4 linked regions of the Saccharomyces cerevisiae S288C genome follow. Each later gene encodes a partner of the first gene's protein in a complex. Each region holds a gene or a part of one and is shown in the gene's direction. Other genes may lie near its edges. The genes, in order: IMG1, RML2, MRP7 and MRPL39.

Evidence for each region.
Region 2: IMG1 (region 1) and RML2 share a complex: the UniProt entries of both Saccharomyces cerevisiae proteins name them as parts of the mitochondrial large ribosomal subunit.
Region 3: IMG1 (region 1) and MRP7 share a complex: the UniProt entries of both Saccharomyces cerevisiae proteins name them as parts of the mitochondrial large ribosomal subunit.
Region 4: IMG1 (region 1) and MRPL39 share a complex: the UniProt entries of both Saccharomyces cerevisiae proteins name them as parts of the mitochondrial large ribosomal subunit.

Annotation. Positions count from the first base shown.
Region 1 is NC_001135.5:207,896-214,243, reverse strand, and holds IMG1 (mitochondrial 54S ribosomal protein bL19m IMG1), read left to right. Parts: upstream 1-3,820; coding exon 3,821-4,330; downstream 4,331-6,348. Other genes in the region: YCR051W (uncharacterized protein), read right to left, coding at 1-173; YCR050C (uncharacterized protein), read left to right, coding at 472-780; ARE1 (sterol acyltransferase), read right to left, coding at 483-2,315; BUD23 (18S rRNA (guanine1575-N7)-methyltransferase), read left to right, coding at 2,699-3,526; RRT12 (Rrt12p), read left to right, coding at 4,634-6,109; PER1 (Per1p), read left to right, coding at 6,294-6,348. UniProt on the Saccharomyces cerevisiae protein: Component of the mitochondrial ribosome (mitoribosome), a dedicated translation machinery responsible for the synthesis of mitochondrial genome-encoded proteins, including at least some of the essential transmembrane subunits of the mitochondrial respiratory chain.
Region 2 is NC_001137.3:57,038-64,022, reverse strand, and holds RML2 (mitochondrial 54S ribosomal protein uL2m RML2), read left to right. Parts: upstream 1-3,171; coding exon 3,172-4,353; downstream 4,354-6,985. Other genes in the region: seripauperin PAU2, read right to left, coding at 1-295; VMA8 (H(+)-transporting V1 sector ATPase subunit D), read right to left, coding at 4,875-5,645; AFG1 (Afg1p), read right to left, coding at 5,923-6,985. UniProt on the Saccharomyces cerevisiae protein: Component of the mitochondrial ribosome (mitoribosome), a dedicated translation machinery responsible for the synthesis of mitochondrial genome-encoded proteins, including at least some of the essential transmembrane subunits of the mitochondrial respiratory chain.
Region 3 is NC_001146.8:620,109-625,318, reverse strand, and holds MRP7 (mitochondrial 54S ribosomal protein bL27m MRP7), read left to right. Parts: upstream 1-2,890; coding exon 2,891-4,006; downstream 4,007-5,210. Other genes in the region: PET8 (Pet8p), read left to right, coding at 1-344; HRB1 (mRNA-binding protein), read right to left, coding at 698-2,032, 2,375-2,404; TOR complex subunit LST8, read right to left, coding at 4,341-5,210. UniProt on the Saccharomyces cerevisiae protein: Component of the mitochondrial ribosome (mitoribosome), a dedicated translation machinery responsible for the synthesis of mitochondrial genome-encoded proteins, including at least some of the essential transmembrane subunits of the mitochondrial respiratory chain.
Region 4 is NC_001145.3:248,711-254,725, reverse strand, and holds MRPL39 (mitochondrial 54S ribosomal protein bL33m MRPL39), read left to right. Parts: upstream 1-3,209; coding exon 3,210-3,422; downstream 3,423-6,015. Other genes in the region: DNA-binding transcription factor YAP1, read right to left, coding at 1-878; MIN4 (Min4p), read left to right, coding at 1,454-1,564; ERG6 (sterol 24-C-methyltransferase), read left to right, coding at 1,736-2,887; transcription elongation factor SPT5, read right to left, coding at 3,858-6,015. UniProt on the Saccharomyces cerevisiae protein: Component of the mitochondrial ribosome (mitoribosome), a dedicated translation machinery responsible for the synthesis of mitochondrial genome-encoded proteins, including at least some of the essential transmembrane subunits of the mitochondrial respiratory chain.

The DNA of each region.
Region 1 (6,348 bases):
TTGCACATTTTCTTCAGCAAATCCAGGTGGCCGTATGCGGCGGCAGCATGCATTGGAGTGTAGCCGTTAATGTCCTTGGATTGCGGGGTCATGGCGCCTTTACTCTCGCGGAGGATATGTTCCACTCGGTCCAAATTACCATCTGAAGCAGCCACCCATATATTAGCGTTCATTTTGTCGTCACAACACCTATAATCATCGATTTTTGTCACCTGCAAACTCTTCTTGTTCTCAATTATATCAAAGGCATCGAAAATTTTTGGGGTTATGACAAGGAAAAAAAAAGTATTACCCGAAACTTAAACAATGAATGGTATATACTATATTGTAAAGTTCTAATAATATATATAAATATGTATATAGATATATATATAGACCTAGGAGCTCTTTGCCCCTGTCTTTGACCACGGTGGAGCGGACGCCCATTCCCTATTGTATATCTATCAAGGGCTTGCGAGGGACACACGTGGTATGGTGGCAGTTCATAAGGTCAGGTACAACGTCATAATGATACTGGGCCCTGAACAGACACCAAACGAAAAGACAACGTTGGACAACTGCGGTCTTGCCCGTAGAAACTTGGTGTTGCTCAAAGCAGTCCACACAAACTGCGACAGTTGGAACATGAACAGATATCCTCTAACCCTTCTGAAAATGGCGAACATGGCCATTTCGTGGAACACGGCACTCAAGAAAAAAGTAAATAATGTAGCTTGGCTCTTGCTCAAATGCAATGCGCCCATGGAGCTGTGGTACACGTGTCTTAGTAAAAATTTGTGAACGGGGACGTTCCAGATTCTGCTAAACTCTTCAAACGAAACGCAATTCCACCAGTCGCCGTAGAAATATCTGTCCGCAAACCTGGTCAACTCCGCCACGCAATTCAATAAAGCGTCCCATATCATGTAAAACGTGAGCATGTACAGAACAGTGAAGCCCGGAATCATGTCGAAGAGCAGGTGGAACCACTCTTGCGTGGCGGGGATCCAGCCGCCGAAGGTGGGCGTGTTGTGGAACTGGATACAGCGCATGGCCACCGGGTGCATGAAGAACTGTGCCGTGACCATCATGAGGAAGATGGTGCCAATGATGGCGCACACCTTCTCCAACACATACCTCCATCTGATGCGCGACGTTCTTGGGTAGTTGATCTGGTACACGAGGACGGGGAACAAACAGAACATGAAGAAATTGCTGCAACTGATGTTGTTGGGGAAGTCGTTATCCTTGGTCTGGTAGTTCAATTCGAAAAGGCAAAAGTCGCAACTTTTTTGCAGAATCTCGCGGGTCTCTGGGGACAAAGATTCCTTGTATTTTTGCAACTGTTTGGAAGAGTACTCGAGTTCCTGCTTTATGTCCCAAAGATACCCGTTGTAAAAGGCAAACGAGTGGCTCTTCATAACAAACACCACGGAGTGCAGGAACAGGAAGATTCTCGTGACCCAGTTGAAATCAAAGTAGTAGACGTAAATGGGGAACGTCACGGGGATGAAAGCCAACTCGAAGATGCTCACTGCAACGAACCCAGTCCACTTCCAGTTGATGATCCGCTTTTTCACCAGCCAGTGCACGAAAACCACGAAGAAAGTGCACAGGAACATTGCCAAGTCCAACATTGCGATCGTGAACAAGTCCGTTGTCATGTACTGCACGATTTCCAGCTTATTCCATGCACTGCCGTACGACGCATAGTAATCTGTGCAGCACCTGATGGCTATCCAGCCCAAGAACATCCATGCGAACACGTAGATCCCTGAAAAGTTCGACTCCAGTTTTTCTCCTGGGGGGGCATCTGCCTTGTCCGTTTTCTCCGTAGTCTTCACCGTAGTCTTCACCGTGGCCTTGGTCTTGGTCTTTGTCAACTGTAAATTTTTGAGCTGTTTCTCCAGCACCGGACCTTTGAAAGTCGTCTGGAAGGGCACGTTGATGGCGCTGTCCAGGAGCGTGGGGCGAGGATCAAAACTCACGTCCCCAAAAAACGACACATACTTGCTAGCATCCTTTCGGTGGAACCTCGACCGAGACTTGCTCTTCAGGTGTGAAAGGTACTTTTGCATGTGGGCGTCCACAGGGTACTCCTCCTCCTGCTCCTGCTTCCCTGCCACACGTTCCGCCTCAGTCGACTCCACTCCTTCAGTCGACTCCACTGGCTCCACCAGCGACGTGGTAGACGACCGTGGCGAAACCTCCATGGACTCCTGTGGCAGGATCACGTTATCGTACGTGACCGAATGCCGTTTGTTGGCTTCTGCGGAATTGAGTCTGCGGATCTTAAGAAACTCTTCGTCTTGCAACAAATCCTTAGTCTCCGTCATTCTTGCAATCTGTTTTGGCGCTCTTGCTGCAAGCCGTGCTGAACAACCACCTGCGTGAGTGTGCCAATGGCGCCCCTTTCCTCCACCACGCTCGTCCTTCTTATATCATCCGCATGTTGCCAGGGTCTGCTGGGTGCTATTGTTCGCTAAACGAGTCCAACCACGGCCGGGTATTTGATGGCCAAGCCAGATTTTTTTTTTTTTTTCACTCTACACCATCTCACATTTTTCAATTTTATCGATAAAAAGAAGAGATGAGCAGCACATACATAGTGTGATAAAGAGGAAAAAAGCAGAAGAAGCAGAAGAAGAAGAGCATAGTAAAAAAGTAGTGCTAAAAAGGTGCGGTACGGAAACACAGGAAATATATCAGAGAAGAAATAATGTCACGTCCTGAGGAGTTGGCACCACCGGAGATTTTCTATAATGATAGCGAAGCACACAAGTACACGGGTTCGACCAGAGTGCAGCATATCCAGGCGAAGATGACGCTGAGGGCGTTGGAGCTTTTGAATCTGCAGCCGTGCAGTTTCATTCTGGATATCGGGTGCGGGTCCGGACTGTCTGGGGAGATTTTGACGCAGGAGGGAGACCATGTGTGGTGTGGTTTGGATATATCGCCCAGCATGCTTGCGACCGGTCTTAGTAGAGAGCTGGAGGGCGACTTGATGTTGCAGGATATGGGCACCGGGATACCGTTCCGGGCGGGCTCGTTTGACGCGGCTATTAGTATCAGTGCGATCCAATGGCTGTGCAATGCGGACACTTCATACAACGATCCTAAACAGCGGTTGATGAGGTTTTTCAACACATTGTATGCTGCACTGAAGAAGGGAGGGAAATTTGTGGCCCAGTTCTACCCGAAAAACGACGACCAGGTGGACGACATACTGCAGTCTGCCAAGGTGGCAGGGTTCAGTGGCGGGCTTGTGGTGGACGACCCAGAGTCTAAAAAGAATAAGAAGTACTACCTTGTGTTGAGCAGTGGGGCCCCACCGCAGGGGGAGGAGCAGGTGAATTTGGACGGTGTGACCATGGACGAGGAGAACGTCAACTTGAAGAAACAACTGCGCCAGCGCTTGAAGGGAGGCAAAGACAAGGAGTCTGCCAAGAGTTTCATTCTAAGAAAGAAGGAGCTCATGAAAAGACGTGGGAGGAAAGTTGCGAAGGACTCCAAGTTCACCGGGAGGAAAAGAAGACACAGGTTCTAGAAGAAACACACATCCTCACACGCATATTCTTTTGTATACTATAAAAATACACACTTATACATTTCCCTCTGTCTCTGTCTCCTTCTACATGTATACTTGTATATGTATACTTGTATATATACACTTATATCTGTATGTGAGTGGTCAATGGCTCCGCGCACTTTTATGTAGTGATGTATTTTCCTTTTTTTCTTGGTTTTCAATTTTGGTGCTTTGGAACTCCCAGTAAAGAAGAAGAAGAAGAATCGAGTCTTCCCTCTGAGCAGCTGCTGAAAGGGAGAGAGAACCATAGCGATGTGGAGCAGGAACGTCAGATTGCTTGGATCATGGACAAGGTCCTACATGGTCCCCGCCACCAAGAGAAAAACCATCCCCGTGTACCCACCTGTGCAGCGCATAGCTTCGTCGCAGATTATGAAGCAGGTGGCCCTCTCAGAAATAGAGTCTCTGGATCCCGGGGCCGTTAAGAGGAAGCTCATCAGTAAAAAGAACAAGGACCGCTTGAAGGCAGGCGACGTGGTCCGGATTGTGTACGACTCGTCCAAGTGCTCGTACGACACCTTTGTTGGCTACATCCTTTCCATAGACCGCAAACAACTGGTGCAAGACGCCTCGTTGCTGTTGCGGAACCAGATAGCCAAGACGGCCGTCGAGATTAGAGTGCCATTGTTTTCGCCGCTGATCGAGAGAATCGACTTGCTAACCCCCCACGTCTCGAGCAGACAAAGAAACAAACACTACTACATCAGAGGTACAAGGTTGGATGTCGGCGACCTCGAGGCAGGTCTAAGAAGAAAGAAATAGGCTAGGCGCGGGTTCTGTGGCCACCCATCTCCTGTATATAAGAAAAATAGTGCGTGTATAAAATCTACGTATACTAACTATGGGTAAAGTAAACCTTTTTGTACTGTTTTCTTTTTTTTTTTTTTGGTTTCCCGTAGTGATGACGTACGTGTATAGAGAATTGAAGCGAAAATAAAAAAAACGACACAAAATATTGTTCTCATTGGCTTTTTTATTTTCTATTTTACACAGCATATAGAGGTATACTCAAGTGCTAGACATCCTCTAACATCCGCCAAGAAAAACAGCAAAAAAACACTGGTCATGAAGCCACAGTGCATACTCATCTCTTTGCTGGTCAACCTCGCATACGCAGAGGAGTATTTGGTGAGGTTCAAAAATCCCACAGCATTCCAACAATTCACTTCGAATTCCAACAGGTCATGGAGACAGTTCATCGACAACAAAATTGAGAAGAAATTCTCCATCGGATCCTTCCGCGGCGTGACCATGAACCTGTCCAAGAACTTAGTGAACAAGCTGAAGAAAAGCCCACTGGTGGCTGATATTGTGCCCAACTTCAGGTTCGAAGCTTTTGAAGGCGACAGTGTAAATAGCGCCGAGTCGAGTTATACGTTTAACGCTACCGCCAAATACTCGTACGAAGACGTCGAGGAAGAGCAAAATATAACGTATCAACCAGACGCACCCCGTCACTTGGCCCGGATTTCCCGCCACTACCAACTCCCATTCGACGTTGGGGACAAGGACCGCTACAAAAGCTGGTTCAATTACTACTATGAACACGACTATCAAGGTCAAGACGTCAACGCCTATATCATGGATACGGGTATCTTCGCGGACCATCCGGAATTCGAAGACAGAGTCATCCAGGGGATTGACTTGACCAAAGAAGGGTTTGGCGACCAGAATGGCCACGGAACGCACGTGGCGGGACTCGTAGGTTCCAAAACGTATGGAGCGGCAAAGAGGGTCAATCTTGTGGAGGTCAAAGTCTTGGGCAAAGACGGGTCTGGCGAGGCCAGTAACGTTCTTAGTGGTCTGGAGTTCATCGTGGAACATTGCACAAAGGTCAGTCGCCCACAGGGTAAAAAATGCGTGGCCAATCTAAGTCTAGGGAGTTTCAGGAGCCCCATAATCAACATGGCAGTGGAGGGGGCCATTGAAGAAGGTATTGTATTTGTTGCCGCGGCGGGGAACTTCAATTTAGACGCCTACTGGGCCTCACCTGCGTCTGCAGAAAACGTTATCACCGTAGGGGCCTTTGATGACCACATTGACACGATTGCCAAGTTCAGCAATTGGGGGCCCTGTGTAAACATCTTTGCCCCAGGCGTGGAAATTGAGTCGCTATCTCATCTGAACTACAACGACACTTTAATTTTGTCAGGTACATCTATGTCGACGCCCATTGTCACCGGAGTTGCAGCGATCCTACTCTCGAAGGGAATTGAGCCTGAAATGATAGCACAGGAGATTGAGTATTTGTCCACGCGTAATGTTTTCCATAGAAGAACGTTGTTTTTCAAGCCTTCTACGCCAAACCAGATTCTTTACAACGGCGTCGATAAACTGGACGATCCATATGACGACGAAACGTTCCCTCGATTGAACATAGAGGCAATTGCTAAGGAACTGGAGGAGTACAATGCCACTTTACAAACTCCTATGTCTGAGAATCTTCAATCTGGTTCAAAACTGTGGGGTTGGAATAACGATGTCACACTACCTCTTGGTGAGATTCGATTGAAGAGGCGTGATTTTATGAAAAATTTGTAGTGTTTTTCTCTTTCTCTCATAAATAAATTATTGCATAATGTCATGTCAACATTAGTTTTTTCGCTCTTCTCTTGCGTATTCTTGTACTTTTCATTTTTCATTTTTCATAAAGCGAATAAAAGAGCAACCTAAGGTGTGAAACCATACCCTTCGGGAGAAAAGAAACAGAAGTGTGGCAAGAAATATGAGGTTAGCTGTGGTTGTGACCCTACTTGTTCACTGTTTCCTAGTGACATGCT
Region 2 (6,985 bases), on another chromosome or scaffold:
AGTACCATGGAACACCGGTGATCATTCTGGTCACTTGGTCTGGGGCAATACCAGTCAACATGGTGGTGAAGTCACCGTAGTTGAAAACGGCCTCAGCAACTTCAATTGGGTAGGTTTCAGTTGGGTGAGCAGCTTGGAAAGAGTAGTATTGAGCCAAATGAGCTCTGATATCAGATACGTAGACACCCAATTCAACCAAGTTGACTCTTTCGTCAGATTGAGCTAGAGTGGTGGTTGCGGAAGCAGTAGCAGCGATGGCGGCAACACCAGCGGCAATTGAAGTTAATTTGACCATTTTATTTGTTTTGTTTGTGCTGATATAAGCTTAACTAGGAAGAGAAGAGTGGAGGCATATACCAAAGAGAGGTAACCAAAGCAGTTCAATTTATATGAATTTCTCGGCCAGCTTCTCTTACATGAACGAGGGGCCACCTTTCACCTCATGAACATTATTGTTATTGCTATTGTTATTGAGATGCCTTTACTCATGAACGATCCATTTTTGGAGGTCTCGTATAAGAGGGCGCGGTTTTGAGTTAATGATACTCATTCGTATATTCAGAATGCAAGAATGTGCTTACAGTGGAGACTAGTTGAACCTTTTTTGAGTCCCTGAAATATTTCCAGTCTGCTAGCTCAGCAGTTGAGTCGAAGTAATATGATATGAGTGTTCGTTCAGAAACCACTGTTCAAGCGTTGACCTTAAACGGGATATCGGAGCTTGGCCTTTTTTTCCCAAATTAGAAACATGCGTAATGTCGATTAATTTTGAATTAGCGTCGTCTGGTACTATATGGGTGATCAAGAGTTGTCTACTATGTGAATCAAACGAATAAGGGATAATAATCAGTAGGACGAAGCACGCGTTAGATAATTAATGGCACATTGTTTCAAGGAATTAGTTTTTGCAGCCGTTTAGAGCTAGCTATAATGATAAAATAGTTCGTTCATATACTCCGGTGGGATCATTGCAGAAATTGAGAAAGAAAGAACGTTGAATATGACATACGTAGGTAAACGAAAATTTATAGACTAACCAGGTTCAAGGCATTCTTTGATCCATTGACCTCGTTGATACCTCTACTATTTTCGATCATTACTACTAATAGAATAACAGCAATAAAATTTACATAGATGATCATATTATATGTTAATGGTGAAGAAATTCACCTCCGACCGTGGTATGTCAATGTGAGATATCACAAAAGTTACTGAATTTTGATCCGGATTTCACTGCCACTATTTACTTAGATTCAGATTTGAGAGTGAAAAATGGGTGAATTTTGAGATAATTGTTGGGATTCCGTCTGTGTTGAAGGCAATAATATTAGGTATACAGGATATACTAGAAGATTTCCTCGAGATTATAGAAATGCCCAAAAGGAAGTCGATAGTGCTACATAATTATGTAACTTCATCCTCCTTCCTTTTATACTTTGTCGTTCGCTACCCTATTACATTATTAATTCTTGCATTTCAGCTTCCTTTAAATTTGATAGCTGTTTCCCATCGTACTTTTTGTCAACTAATTCTGTCCTATATGATAATTGAAGAGTGGGTGAATTTTGAGATAATTGTTGGGATTCCATTTTTAATAAGGCAATAATATTAGGTATGTAGAATGTACTAGAAGTTCTCCTCGAGGATTTAGGAATCCATAAAAGGGAATCTGCAATTCTACACAATTCTATAAATATTATTATCATCATTTTATATGTTAATATTCATTGATCCTATTACATTATCAATCCTTGCGTTTCAGCTTCCACTAATTTAGATGACTATTTCTCATCATTTGCGTCATCTTCTAACACCGTATATGATAATATACTAGTAACGTAAATACTAGTTAGTAGATGATAGTTGATCTTTATTCCAACAATAATACATATTAATACTATATACATAAGATCAAAGATGAAACTTGCTTCTTATTCCAGCAAGATTCTATATGCCATGATATACGACGAATAATATTTTGTGAATCAAGTTGATACTCCAAGGTTATGTTCTAATCTATGTTCTGTGGGTTCTTTATTTTTTGAATAACAACAAATAGTAAGCGCAAGTGGTTTAGTGGTAAAATCCAACGTTGCCATCGTTGGGCCCCCGGTTCGATTCCGGGCTTGCGCAGCTTTATTTTTTTAATCCATTCATTTCATGAGCAACTGTCAACTAATTCCAATACGAAGAGCCTAATTCTTTGATAGTTCCTTTTCTTTTCTAGTTTAGATTTCAGAAAGCGTAAACAACAATTTTAATCATCGTATTCAAATTTACATCGAACACGTTCATGATTAGCATGGAGTGTAATCATCATCAAAAAAAAAAAAAAAGAGGAGTGATAATGGCAATTAAGACAATTTTTTATATAACAGTAAGAATTGATATTGAAACCAAATTGTGCTTAACAAAAAAAACTAGGTCGAATGGATATTTTTCTTAATCCAACCGTACCGCTGTGTACAAATGAGGCAAAAGAGGTAAAATGTTTGAGAAAAGATTCCTTTCTTCAGCAATCCTTTTCTTGCATTAAATACATGTTCCTTGAGAAAACTTTTGATGTTTAATGTGTAAATATCTCATTAATTTCAGAATTTTCAGTGTTTGTTGTTTGTAAAATCAGTCATTTCAAAGATCCGCTTGGGGCGACAACTTAGTCATCATGTTAATGAGATACCAACAAAAAACTGTACTTGTAAGTTGTCTTTATCATCTCTAAAGGAACAATAATGCAGAAGAGAAAAAAGTAAAGAAAGTAATACACAAACATCCCCCTCTTGGCTTTATAAGCATACGCAAACAGTATAGTTCGAAAAAAAAAGTATTAGTACGATCTATTTTTGTTTGTCAGGAACTCCTGTTCCTTAACACATTCTATAGAAATATCTATATGTTACCATCCACGTACAGGTTGAAGCGCTTGGTATTTAAGATGAATAAGTATATTCTACGGTTAAATTTGAATAGAACCTCTGTTCTTTAAATACTCAAAAAAAATTTTCCATGCAAAAAAAAGACTACGCGAGGTGGAAAGTTAGGGCTTGAACCTATAATTGAAAGAGAAAGGGAACGTATGGGAAACTGAAAGCGAGTTCTAACTAAGCAAAAGAGAACGTTGTAAACTAGTCCAGAAATACGCAGAGAAGATAATTTAAGTGTTTATGAAAGATGTTGGTGCTAGGGTCTCTTAGATCGGCGCTGTCGTGCAGTTCCACAGCATCGCTTATTAGTAAGAGAAACCCTTGTTATCCATACGGTATACTCTGTCGAACTCTATCTCAGAGTGTTAAATTGTGGCAAGAGAATACTTCAAAAGATGACTCCAGTTTGAACATTACTCCACGATTACTAAAGATTATACCTAACGATACTGATATCGTGACTCTTGAGAAGCAGGATGAATTGATTAAAAGACGTCGTAAACTTTCGAAAGAAGTGACCCAGATGAAGAGGCTAAAACCCGTCTCACCTGGTTTGAGATGGTACCGTTCCCCCATTTATCCATATTTGTACAAAGGTCGTCCGGTTAGAGCCCTAACTGTTGTTCGAAAGAAGCACGGTGGTAGAAATAATTCAGGAAAAATCACTGTCCGTCACCAAGGTGGTGGCCATAGAAATAGAACGAGGCTGATAGACTTTAACAGATGGGAAGGTGGTGCACAAACGGTGCAAAGGATTGAGTACGATCCGGGTAGATCCTCTCATATCGCCCTATTGAAGCATAATACTACCGGCGAATTGTCTTATATTATTGCTTGTGATGGGTTACGCCCAGGCGATGTGGTCGAATCCTTCAGAAGAGGTATTCCTCAAACTTTACTGAATGAAATGGGCGGGAAAGTAGACCCTGCTATCTTGAGTGTTAAGACTACCCAAAGAGGCAACTGTCTACCTATTTCCATGATCCCCATAGGTACTATTATTCACAACGTTGGCATAACACCCGTTGGACCTGGAAAATTTTGTCGCTCTGCTGGTACATATGCCAGAGTCCTTGCGAAATTACCTGAAAAAAAGAAAGCTATTGTTAGATTACAAAGCGGTGAACATCGTTATGTGTCTTTAGAGGCTGTCGCTACCATTGGCGTGGTCTCCAATATTGACCATCAAAACAGATCTCTTGGTAAAGCCGGCAGATCAAGATGGTTAGGGATAAGACCCACTGTTAGAGGTGTTGCCATGAATAAATGTGACCATCCTCACGGTGGTGGCCGTGGTAAATCCAAGTCTAATAAATTATCAATGTCTCCATGGGGACAACTGGCAAAGGGGTACAAGACTAGAAGGGGTAAAAATCAAAATAGAATGAAAGTAAAAGACAGACCAAGAGGCAAAGATGCAAGATTATAAATAGGCTAATTTTAGTAGAAAAGAAGCAACATAGGGACCTTTTCTTCGTTGTTCTGGTTACATTTATCTGTACTATATAATTTTGCACAGCCTGTAGACAATGCCGCTTGTCCACAATCATGTAAATATAAATATTGAAACTTTTCACTTGTTTAAAATTTATGGCAAACCACTTTAATACTTTTTTCTTTTTAGGTACAATATTTACATTTTGATACTGTCCATCAGATTTTAGTCACTAACATCTAAGTTAAGGAAGTAAGAGATTCAGACTCCGGTAAGGAAAAAAAAAAAAAAGAAAAAAAAAAAACAAACTCTGAAATGAAAGCATTAGAAGAAAAAGTTATATCTCATGTACAATTTGAGCAAATTTGGACCGATATGATTTGAGGTTGTATGATAAGAAGTGCTATTTATGATTGTTTAAAAAGATGTTATTTTATTAAACAATTATACAAAATATCCTTTTTTTTAATAATGGCTTACATATTTTTGAAAAGGGTCTTGTTCTGCCTGAAACTTCAGAATATAACATCGTCTTCTTGATCAGCAACCAATGTTTCACCTTGAGGTTCCTCATCAGCAGCTACTTCTGAAGCATCTTGTTCTGCTCTATCTCTCTTCAATTTCATCTCAGCATCCAATTTTGCAGTCTCATTTTGCTTCTTTTCTTGGACCTTTTTCAATCTATAAAATTCTTCTCTGTCCAACTCATCCAACTCACTGTTAATGTAAGCAATTGTGTTTTCAGTTCTTGGGATAATAACGTGTTCGATAGCATTAACCCTTCTGTTCGTCACTTTAATCACTTCATCCAAAATAATAAATGCAGTCTGTAAAGAGGCTAATTCAACTAAAGTTTCAACGGCTCTTGAATAGATTTCCTTGGCTCGTTGAACCTGTTGACCACCTCTACCTAAACCAGTTAATCTGAAATCATTAATTTCAGGGTCGATGTAGGACTCAAATTGAGACAAATACACACCACTAACGTTTTCTTGACGTGCTCTCACTTTGAATCTTGCAGTAGAGACACTTTCTTGCACTTGATAGCCAATGTTTTCACCTGTTGCATAGGAAACTTCGGCCAAGGAAAAGGCAGCAGTTTGCATAACTCTCCCCATCTTTTGCTTAGCATCATCAATTCTTTTGGTAATATCTCTGAATCTCTTTGTTAGGGCTTCAGACTTACGCTTTAGTAAAGAATAACCTTGGTTGGCACCTTTTAACTTGGTCTTCATCAAACCCAGCGTCATACGCGTAGGAAAGACTTGCTCTCTATTACCAGACATTTTTGAACCTTTTTCACAATGCTGTTAGGAACCTATGTACTACAGATGCTGATTTATTCTACTGCTGCTTCATCTAACCTTTATCTGTACTGCCATTGTCTTTTAACAATCCCCGTTCCTAATCAAATTTGCATTCGGGTAACAAAAAATCAGGTGAGTAATATCAGTAATAAAAAGCACTATTGTTAAAGGTGTAACTGCGGCAATTGTTAGACGATCAAAGTTCGTGTTTAGAATAAATACAAGAATATAAATAAACACTTTTGTTACATAGGGTTTAGTATGTAGGCTTAGTAACCCAATCGGTGGAGCTCATCTGTGACAGCCTGCTTAAGGCACGGGCAAAGGCAAATCTTTCTTCATCAAGAGCAAACATCTGCGATTTCTTGGCAATCTCTTTCGAAAAACCGTGTTTCTCAACCATCTCATCTACCATACCAGTATCGACGCTATCAGGTTCTTTGGTTGTTGGGCGTAACTCAAAATCATTAAGTATCTGTTCAGGTTCCACAAACAAGGAAGAAAAATCCGCTGCACCCGTAGTGGCCAGTTTCCCGCCACTGTCATATACAGCATCTAAAAATGTAATAAATCTTCTCACTTCATCACGAACGTAAATGGACAAATATGGAATATCGGTCACTATAAAGGCTTCAAAATTTTTTGCCAACGTCAAGTAATCTCCTGCGGCCAAAGGCTCACCACACAACTGCTTGAAAGTAAACTGCGCGACTCGAGGTGGGGTACACTTAGGGACTTTGAACTCTCTCCCCCAAATAGTTAATGGATAATCATAAAATGTCTTATGCACCGTGTGTGAATCAGTGGAATCATCGGTGTGGGAAGCCTGTGCGAAATAGTTATACCATTCCTTAATATGAGTTTCTCGACGGGTTTTACATTCCTTTGATGCGTATTTTATGCTCGTATCGGATGGGAAATAGTAAACTGAGGACACAGGTCTTGGAATCTTACGGTAATCTGTTGGCGAATTCAAGAAGATAACCTTAGTTCTATGCTTTATCAGTTCAATACAAGGAATAAATGATTGTCTTTGAACACCGTTGATATACAACTCATCTGGATGTCTATTCGAGGTTGCGAAAAGTACGACACCATAATCATCGGATAGTAAGGCAGTCATCAGCCTTCTCAATATCATTGCATCTGCCACGTCAGTGACTTGAAACTCGTCAAAACAAAGAACATGCGAATTATTTGCAATCTCTGCGGCCAAAAATGGAACCGTATCGATCTCTTTTCCTTTTGCATCACCTAGTTCTTTCAAATTTTGCTCTCTAACAATTTCATGCGACCTTTTGTGAACATATTGCATAAAC
Region 3 (5,210 bases), on another chromosome or scaffold:
TATACGAGTATCTAAAAAAGACTTGGGCAAAAGCCAATGGCCAAAGTCAAGTGGAGCCATGGAAAGGGGCTATCTGCGGTTCTATTGCGGGTGGGATCGCAGCAGCTACAACGACACCATTAGATTTCTTGAAAACCAGATTAATGCTCAACAAAACAACCGCCTCACTTGGAAGCGTTATTATTAGGATTTACAGAGAGGAAGGTCCTGCTGTATTTTTCAGTGGAGTGGGGCCCCGGACAATGTGGATCAGTGCAGGTGGTGCTATCTTCCTAGGCATGTATGAAACTGTTCATTCGTTATTATCGAAAAGTTTCCCAACGGCTGGAGAAATGAGAGCGTAATGAAAACATAGAGCAAAAGCAACTACCAGTTGTAAGAGGTAGATCGTTTACGTACTTTACGTAAGCCTTCTGAGGCCTCTTGTCTGTTGTTTATTTTTTGTTATTCATATAAAAAAGTCGTCTATTTACGATATCTGTTCAAAGTACTTTTTTGGATATTTGTTAAACCCATTTTCACTGTATTGGAAAAATCAGACTCTTTTCACAGTCTTCTTCAAAGTCTTCGAAATTTTTTCAGATTATACGTATACACAATGACATTATAAAGTTAAAAAGCCTGGAAATAAGTCAAGAATGAATAAATACTTGTCGCAGATCCAATAGGTGAGAAAGTATATAGATCGAGAGTAGTTCTAGAGGCGTTTAGCGTACGATATATCCAAATCACAACCCCCATAGTTATAATTATTCAATCTTTCAATACAAACATCTGCATCATCGACGTTATCGTATTCAACGACAGCTATTCCAGTTGGTGCCCCTTTGGAATCATACCTTAATTCAGCATTGTTAACCTTTCCGATTGTCTCGAAAAGGTCGTAAAGATCACTTTTTGCAGTTGAAAATGGCAAATTACTGCAATATATGAGTCTATTTCTTTCACCTCCACCGACAACGTTTTCGGTAAATTTTCGAGCTTCTTCGTTAACGGGAGAATCATCCATTGGGATATCAACATCGTCTCCATCACTGTGGTTATGTACGCTTTCCTTAGACTTGACATCCAAGACGTTACCCTCTATACTATAACCGTTGTATTTCTCAATCGCTCTATGCAGATCTTTAATATCATAAAAGGACACCGTACCAGATCCAGTGGATACTCCATCGCCATCCAATTCCACATCAGCGTGTGCGACATTCCCACATTCCTTGAATATGTCTTTCAAAGCCTGCCAATTAACGGAAGCAGGTAAATTTTTTACAATAACTTCATGTGTTTTTCGGTTATGTCTAAGCTCTCCTCTATCGAGTGCTTTCCTTTCCTTGATATTGTTTGACGGTGGTGGATTATCTTGCCTGACGAAGATTTTACGATCCATGAAGAAGGCCCCATCGTACTGGCGGATGGCCCTGTCAACATCATCCGAATTAGTGAACTCTACTGTACCCATACCTCTGTGGTGCCCTCTTGATGTAATTATATCCGCGCGGACTACTTTTCCTATCTGTGAAAAAAACTCAGTGAGATCTTCGGGGGTGCTGTCATATGTTAAATTACCCACGAATATACTATTGGAATAGTTTCTATTGACCTTTTCTTCGTATGTACTATCCAATTCACGTGCCAACAAAGGACCGTAATCACCTCTTGCTCCACTACTACCAAAACCGCCTCTCCTACTGTCATCACGTGTATTGTGTCTACTCCTAAAGCTTCTAGGATAGTCATCACGTCTGTTCCCATAACGACCAGTCACATCTCTTCCTCTGCGCCTATCATCGTAACGGTCTCTAGATCTAGGATTATCTCTGTTATTGAACCTTTCTCTTTCTCTGTAATCAGACCTTTCTCTACCTCCTCTATATTCTCCTCTATCTCTGCTTCCTCTGTACGTATCTGCGAACTTACGCCTACCGTTATAATTACCTGACCTCCGGGACAAATGGTTGTCTCTTTCATAACCATGATCATCACTCATCCGACGACGAACAGGTGATCTCGACCTCGATCTACTTCGATTATTCTACAACAATGAATAACATTAGTAAAAGTAACTAAATTTCATAATGAGAGAGACCAATAAGTCATTGCGTTTCAAAGTTGGAATAAACTGTACATTATAGCATGGCAGGTAGAAAATCAGGGTTTTATTTATAATTGATATTCTCACTTTCATAGCCAGTAGATAAACATTAGCAATGCATTCAAAAAACCCCCTTTAACCAGTGGAATCACATTGAAGCAAGCGTTTTGAAGGCAGCATTAAATGGTGACTCACCATTCGTTGATGTCTATTTAATTCCAATGACCTCATAAAGTCTCATTTTACAAACTTTTCTTCACCTCCCTTATCAATGAAACATACGTTTTCTGAACCTCGTTCTTGATCAGACATATCCTGTTAACTTAATATTTGGCGTTCTATCTGCTCATTCAAACTGTTTTCGAACTCATGAGCAAACATAATTATGAAATTTTTCAGCCAGTACTCTACTTTTTCATTTCCCTCGCTAAACAAAGAGAGTCATTTGAAACGACCCAAGGAAAGACGTAAATTGAGGTATATGTAGTGACCAGAAGAGGATAAGGATGGCTAGAGTTTGGTGTTCAAGTTCAATTGTTTGGTTGAATAGGTACTAAAAAGATTTTCACACAACGGCTTCTCTGTAATGTTATACACACTGTTTTTATACCAATTATGCAAATTTGGCTGTTATGACTGGGTGTTTCGATATCTGACGTTCCGCTATTGAATTTTAAAGCTCTTTCTTTGGAGACTCATTCAAGATAGTTCACTGAAGAATGAAGTTGGCTCATTGTAAAAATAAAACTCGCCAGTTTGGGTGGTCATAATATTTCAAGCTTAACCTAAGGTGAGAATATGTGGAATCCTATTTTACTAGATACTTCTAGTTTTTCATTCCAAAAACATGTGTCTGGTGTGTTCCTTCAAGTGCGTAATGCCACCAAAAGGGCTGCGGGCTCGAGAACAAGTATGAAGGATTCTGCAGGAAGAAGGTTAGGACCAAAAAAATATGAAGGCCAGGATGTTTCCACAGGTGAAATTATTATGAGGCAAAGAGGAACAAAGTTTTATCCTGGAGAAAACGTTGGTATAGGGAAAGATCATTCCATATTCGCCTTAGAACCTGGTGTTGTTCGTTACTATCTTGATCCTTTTCATCCTAAAAGAAAATTCATTGGTGTTGCCTTGAGGCGTGATTTGAAACTGCCATCTCCTCATTTTGAGCCTACCGTAAGGAGGTTTGGCCGTTTTGAGTTAACAAATAAAAGGGCAGCATATAAGGAAGAAAATTCTATTTCTAGAAAAGACTATCTCGCAAAACCTAATATTTTGAAGCAGTTAGAGGTCAGGGAATCTAAAAGAAAGGAGTTACAAGACAAGTTGAGTAAGGTTCTTCGGGATGAACTTAAGTTAGATATAAAAGACATCGAATTGGCAACGTCATACTTAATTCGTGTAAGGGCTTCCCTGAAGAATGGATACCCCATAGAAGATGCAAGGTTCAATAGTAGATATTATTTAAAAGAAGAAGAGCGTTTGAAGGCAAGGAGAGAAAGCTGGACGAATGAGAAATTGTCGGAGAGTCTATCCAAGATTGATGAGTGTAGTGATCTTTTGAACTCATCTACATCTTTCAATAACAAGCTAGAGCTACACCAGTATATTTCGGAACAAGAAAAACAAGCTTTGAAGGCAAAACTATTAGAGGACCTAGAAAAATCCCAACACTTAGAAACCAAAAAAGACAAGAATTATATTAAGGCGCTTTTCAAGGACGCTTGTAATTTTTTGACTTTATCTGAAGAAGTACATTTGCGTAGGAAATACTTAAAGTCGGTCTTCCCCGAAACAGATAGTACGGTTGAAACCAAAAGCGGGAAGAAGTCAATTGTGTCTAGACGTTTTGATTACACCAAAAATAAAGTTGAAGTCATTGCTAGAAGTAGGCGGGCTTTTTTGAGCAAGCTTTGATTTTCTTTCCTTACGCACAGTATGTACACATATAAAATGTTTAAGAATGCCTGTAAATATTACTATTTTGTCGCGCAAGTAGCTAAACCTTTCGTCTACACGAAACTTAAAATTTAGTGCTACATGCAAGGGAATATGTTTATACTGTACATTCTCGTCTTCCTTTCATTGATGATATGCATCGCGATTGCTTTCATTTTGTGAACAATCAATTAACTAAAATGCACAGGATAGTAAAATCTATATTTACAAAAAGGCGGATAAGCAAACACTGAAAATCATAATGTTTTTTGTCACTTCGGTCCTTCAAGCTTGGTAGTTGATAAATTGTAAACTATACATCGTTTAATGCGACACATACAGCTCCCTTGTGGTGTCCACCGTACTGTCTGACAATTTCTCTAGTTGATAAATCCCATAATCTCACGTAATGATCGGACGATGCCGTTACTAGATACGCACTGTCAGCACTAAATGCGCAATCCCAAACCCACCTTTGGTGGCCATCCAATGTCGTTTCTAGCTTAAAATCATCATCAATCGACCACACACGAGCAGTGTGATCCGCTGAACATGTTGCCAAATGTTTTACATCAGATGATAGTAGAATTCTAGTTATATATGTGGAGTGCGCTCTGAATTTTGTTACCGGTTTTAGATGGGATGCGTCAGTATGATTTGGCATTTCCCATACGTAACAATTACCTTTAGTATTTGCTGCCGCTAACATCGAACCATCACTTGCCATAGATAAAGACTGGAGAGAGGTATCGTCCTCAGGTGTCAATTGATGGGTACACTGATTTTCTCCTAAGTCCCAAATTCTTATATTACCATCTCTATCACAAGATATCAACTCGCCTTGGTTAGGATGAATTACGACTTCATTTACTGGTGCGTTATGTTTGTAATTTCTAGGAATGGACGGAGAACGCACATCCCAAACTTTAATGGTCCCATCTTCGCTAGAGGTCACCATCCATCTGTTGTCCTGTTGAAAAGAAACGGAGGTAACGTTTCCCCGATGACCCTCAAAGGATGCTACTGGATTGGGATTTGTCGTCCGAATGTCATAAAGCCGTACGTTTTGATGGCCTGCTGTTGCCAACAACTTTTTATCGTTGGTGATTTCTAAGCGATTAACCTGTGAGTCGGAATGCTGAATTGTTCTTGAACAAACCCCAGTAAGAGCCTCCCAAAATCT
Region 4 (6,015 bases), on another chromosome or scaffold:
TTTTCAAAATTAAAGTCATTAGAAAACATATTACTGTCTAAATTCTTAGTTTTACTATTGCTGCCATCATCACCTGACACAAACCTGTTAGTATATATTACATTATCTAACCAATCCATCGAAGTGGAGGAGTTTGGTGTGTTATTAAGAACATCGTTACTATTTGAAAGGGAATCCAAAGTAGCGCTGGAGGAATCTGTAGCGTCACTTAATTTCTTTTGTGTCTGATTTATAGGCATAGGAGCCGAATGACTTGGATCATTTGGTGAAGGTAATTGTTTCCCCACATTTTTACTGTTGTCGTTGTCGTTGTCGTTATCAAGCGGATATTGAAACGTGAAATTCATCTTTTGTTTAACATTTTCTTGTATGTCATCATTGGGTGTGTCAATTGGCTCGCTATTGCTGTGGTTAACGTTATTTTTTGAAAAATGCAAATTAGGATCTCGCCTTGCTAAATATTCCAGCACTTTTGAGTCATTTCTTGTCTCTGGTCTATATTTTTTTAACTCATTCACCAGAGTGATTAACTGGTCCCTCAAAAAAGTAGCTTCCACTTCATTTTGCTGCTGAATACTCTCTAAACTTTGTACCTTCTTCTCCAATTCCTTCATCTTCCTCTCCTTACGTTCCCTAAAAGCTCTTTGAGCGGCCCGATTTTGGGCAGTCCTCTTCTGCTTAGTTTCAGGATCCAAATCTTGCTTTTTGCTAGTTTTGCTACCCTTCTTCTTCGGTTGCTCGCTATCCTCGCCATCACGTGTACCAGTACGTCTATGTTCATTTTCTATTTCATCGTGACGAGATTTTGAACCCTCAAACTCCGCTAATGAACCCGGAGAAACGACATCCAGCGACCTCTTGGCGGTAGACACACTCATGGTTTAAGAAACAACTTTTCCTTCTTTAAACGTTTTGGGTGGCAAAAAACTTCCCTTAAACAAACTAAAAATGGCTCGTGTTCATGCACAAGTCAACCAGGGGCTCAGGAAAAAAAGCTAAACACCAATCCTATATATAACGTAAAGGTACTGTGCTTAATCGGTAAACGGAAGACTATTAAGCAAATGTATCTCTTAAGACCTTACGCATCCATCAGTTGCCACCCTCCTACTCTTCATCGGAGGGTTTCCGGTTCCCATGACAAAGACGGCGCTTTGGCGGGGCCCAAATTGTTACCCGCACCCAGAAAAAGAAAAGAGTAACCTAGGTCAAATCAACCAAACAGCTAGGGCTGGTTACTATTTTTGAAAAGATGCAACAGGGTAAGATCAGCAAAATTTAGGGCCGAACAAAGCCCCGATCTTCGTATATGGTACCTCGTTCCCGTACTTATTTTCAATTTTTGGCGTCGTTTACTGCCGTTTCCGATAAATACAAAAAAGTTTTCGAGAAGCGAGAGTAAGTGAGGAGCAGACAATGTATTATTCACTGTAAACTGCTCCACTTCGTCTCAATGGTACACTTCATTTTTATCGCCTTACGAAGCATGCGTTTTATGCGAAGATTGGTGAGAAACCTCCAATACTTGCTGTTGCCGATAACTTCTTCATTGCTTTTTATATAGTTCGGGTGTTTTCTCCTATCCTCTGCTGCTCTCTTTTTCTTTCCATTCGTCTTTGTAATTTATAAGCTGTTAATTTTCATTCAAGTTTCCCTTATCTGTTTTACTTTCGATTTAAGTTTTACATAATTTAAAAAAACAAGAATAAAATAATAATATAGTAGGCAGCATAAGATGAGTGAAACAGAATTGAGAAAAAGACAGGCCCAATTCACTAGGGAGTTACATGGTGATGATATTGGTAAAAAGACAGGTTTGAGTGCATTGATGTCGAAGAACAACTCTGCCCAAAAGGAAGCCGTTCAGAAGTACTTGAGAAATTGGGATGGTAGAACCGATAAAGATGCCGAAGAACGTCGTCTTGAGGATTATAATGAAGCCACACATTCCTACTATAACGTCGTTACAGATTTCTATGAATATGGTTGGGGTTCCTCTTTCCATTTCAGCAGATTTTATAAAGGTGAGAGTTTCGCTGCCTCGATAGCAAGACATGAACATTATTTAGCTTACAAGGCTGGTATTCAAAGAGGCGATTTAGTTCTCGACGTTGGTTGTGGTGTTGGGGGCCCAGCAAGAGAGATTGCAAGATTTACCGGTTGTAACGTCATCGGTCTAAACAATAACGATTACCAAATTGCCAAGGCAAAATATTACGCTAAAAAATACAATTTGAGTGACCAAATGGACTTTGTAAAGGGTGATTTCATGAAAATGGATTTCGAAGAAAACACTTTCGACAAAGTTTATGCAATTGAGGCCACATGTCACGCTCCAAAATTAGAAGGTGTATACAGCGAAATCTACAAGGTTTTGAAACCGGGTGGTACCTTTGCTGTTTACGAATGGGTAATGACTGATAAATATGACGAAAACAATCCTGAACATAGAAAGATCGCTTATGAAATTGAACTAGGTGATGGTATCCCAAAGATGTTCCATGTCGACGTGGCTAGGAAAGCATTGAAGAACTGTGGTTTCGAAGTCCTCGTTAGCGAAGACCTGGCGGACAATGATGATGAAATCCCTTGGTATTACCCATTAACTGGTGAGTGGAAGTACGTTCAAAACTTAGCTAATTTGGCCACATTTTTCAGAACTTCTTACTTGGGTAGACAATTTACTACAGCAATGGTTACTGTAATGGAAAAATTAGGTCTAGCCCCAGAAGGTTCCAAGGAAGTTACTGCTGCTCTAGAAAATGCTGCGGTTGGTTTAGTTGCCGGTGGTAAGTCCAAGTTATTCACTCCAATGATGCTTTTCGTCGCTAGGAAGCCAGAAAACGCCGAAACCCCCTCCCAAACTTCCCAAGAAGCAACTCAATAAATTCACTAGATCAATAAGATTCAAATAAAGCGCACGATATATACCTATTTTCCTATATATGCAGATAAAAAGATAGCACGTTCATTGCTAGCAGGCCTTACAAACAGACTGTCCGATGCCTTTACTACCCCACAATTTATCCCACTTGTGATTTTCAAGTTCGGCTTTTTTTTTTTTCATCATGTCGTGGCAAACGACCAGTATTTTCTATCAGAATAAGAAAAAACTATAATTCACTGCATACAAACGTATTGACTGCTCCCCTACAGCGGAAGATAGTAAGAATACAACATCGTAACTGTTTCCATATTTATGTGCCGATATGGTAAAAGTGAAATCTAAGAATAGTGTTATAAAGCTATTGTCTACAGCGGCAAGTGGATACTCTCGTTACATCTCGATTAAGAAAGGTGCACCTTTGGTTACTCAGGTCAGATACGATCCTGTGGTGAAACGGCATGTGCTTTTCAAAGAAGCAAAGAAAAGGAAAGTGGCAGAAAGAAAGCCATTGGATTTCTTGCGTACAGCCAAGTGAAGAAATATGAATAAGCACGAGCCCCGGCATGTAAGCCCATCGAATACGCAGACGTTACGCATTTTTTTTCATTTATCCTGTAAATAAGTAATGGATACATACATTTTGTATACGATTCAAACGGAAAGAAATTCCGCTAACGAAAAAGAAGTTATATAAAATTACATTACAATAATCAACTCCCTCATAATAAAGTTGATATTTCATTTAGATATGCAAAAACACATATGCATACATACATACATACGTATATGTAAAAGTTAGAATCAAGGAAAACTCGTGACATACAAATGCAAGCATAAATGAAAAAAAAAGATCGAGATTCAGTATTTCATCGAAACATCGAAATCTTCATAACTATTCTTATTAACGTGGTAATATTAAAGTCTTTTTTATTGATTTCTTCTTGGGTGATATTGGTTCTCCTTTTGGTGATTAATGACCTCCCCATGTACTGTTACCACCATAGTTTGACTTATTTCCTTGGTTGTTCCAAGCAGACCTATTTCCATCGTCTTGGTTACCCCATGCAGAAGCTCCGCCATCTCTTGTACTTTTATTATTGTTATTTCCTCCCCAGGTGGAAGCCCCGCCGTAGGCTGACCTATCACCGGTACCACCCCAAGTAGACATGGCACCATTAGATTCACCACCCGACGCCCAAGTGGATGCACCGCCCCAACTTGATTTGTTACCCCAGGCTGAAGCACCACCCCAAGTAGAAGTAGCACCAGTACCTTGGCCGCCCCAAGCTGAGGCACCGCCGCCAGCACCGCCCCAAGCGGATGCACCTCCATTACCTTGGCCACCCCAAGTGGAAGCACCACCCCATGAGGAGACACCGCCACCACCTGAGCCTCCATGCGCATTTACAGCTGGTGTTTTGCCACCATCGAAGGAGCTCCATCCTGGTGTCATACCACCGCTAAGACCAGAAGAGGTAGCCGCAGCACCTGCTGCAATACCGCCAGTGGCCATGTTTCTTGGGGCACTGACGTAACTTGGGCCCATTCTGGCCTGTGGAACTCTACCACGTCTATTAACCAATTCATCATACGTGATACCTTCACCTCCCTCACGGTTGTAATATGTTAACTTATGCTTGTCAATTGTAATGTGTTTGTTCTTCGAGTGTAATTCGACAGTAGCTTTATCACCATTCACATCTTTCACAATACCTAATTGACCCTTGTAACCAGCAGAACGAATTCTTACTGTTTTGCCGAGTGCAACTTCACGACCTCCTCTGGACTGGATGGGTTGTTGGAATGTCTTAGATGATGGAGGTCCCATTTTAGAAATGATTTCTGGATTCATTTTACTTAGATCCATTTTGTTACTTAACATATTGTCCTTGGATGCCACGGCCTCAACGTTACTAGGGTTAACAACAAAAACCCCTGCATTTTCAACAATCTTCTTTGAAACAACAAAAATTTGTTGTGTTTGTATGTACAGGACCTGACCTTCTCTGCGTGAACCTACTTTCTCTACTATGGTATCACCAATTTTGATTTCATTACCATTTGCATCGACACTAGAAACGCGTGCACGAGCAGTATTTATTTTACTCAAGATAGACCCCTTCGTAATTGTCGACACTTTACCAGTTTCATCAATAACCTTGAAGATATCGTGGCCAGCTTGAATAATACAAGCAACATTTTTAGCACTCAATTCGACTATGTCATGTAGCGCATATTCACTTGATGTAGCTGTAGTGTCGATGGATTTGGACAGATTATTTGCTGTAATGGTAACTTCTCTGCTTGTTTGAGTTGACATAAATGTCACTTGACCTTGCTCTACCATAAGAACTAAACCAGCATCACCTTGATGTTCACCATTGATGACAGTAACGTGATCACCAGGTTCGAAAATTTTCCTCAGAGTAGAGATAGGAAATTCTAGAGGCGTTGTAAAGCCATTTAGTTTGATAGTAGCAATATCTTTCGTGGTTCTTGTTACAATACCCTTGGAACCACGTTGTTCACCATTTAGAACTTCGATACGATCACCTGGCTGGAAAGTGACCTTTGCAGCTTGAGCCTTCTTGATTGATTGTGAAACTGATGTTAGATCTACCGCGCCCTCTTTGGAACCGAATCTTGCCAATTCCTCCACAGTTGGCTGAATATTTTTGGTTTCCACATGTTGAATTCTGAAGGACTTATACAGATAACCATCGATATAATCTTCATTCTTATAAGTAAAGTGGCGATCATCCCTTTTGTACAGGTTAGCTTGGTCTAATCTTAGAGCCATTGTTGGATTAAATAATTGCGGTGGTGCTCTATGAGCAAAAGTTGGTCTTCTGGATTTACGTTGCTGTGTTGTTGGATCAATTTCGTCGAATTTACCATAATCCAGACGAGGAACAATTTTCAGCATAACTTCTAAATTATTCTCACTAATTTGGTCGACCATAGCTAAGTCACCCTTATAGATCCCTCTCTTAATACGAACGTAGCTACCTTCTTCCAAAGCAACATCATCAGATTTGTTTGGTTTTAGTAATAGAGGTAATTCTTGGACAGGAATTAGCAATTTTTGAGAAATATAAATATCTGGAACACCATTACAAAATTTTTCA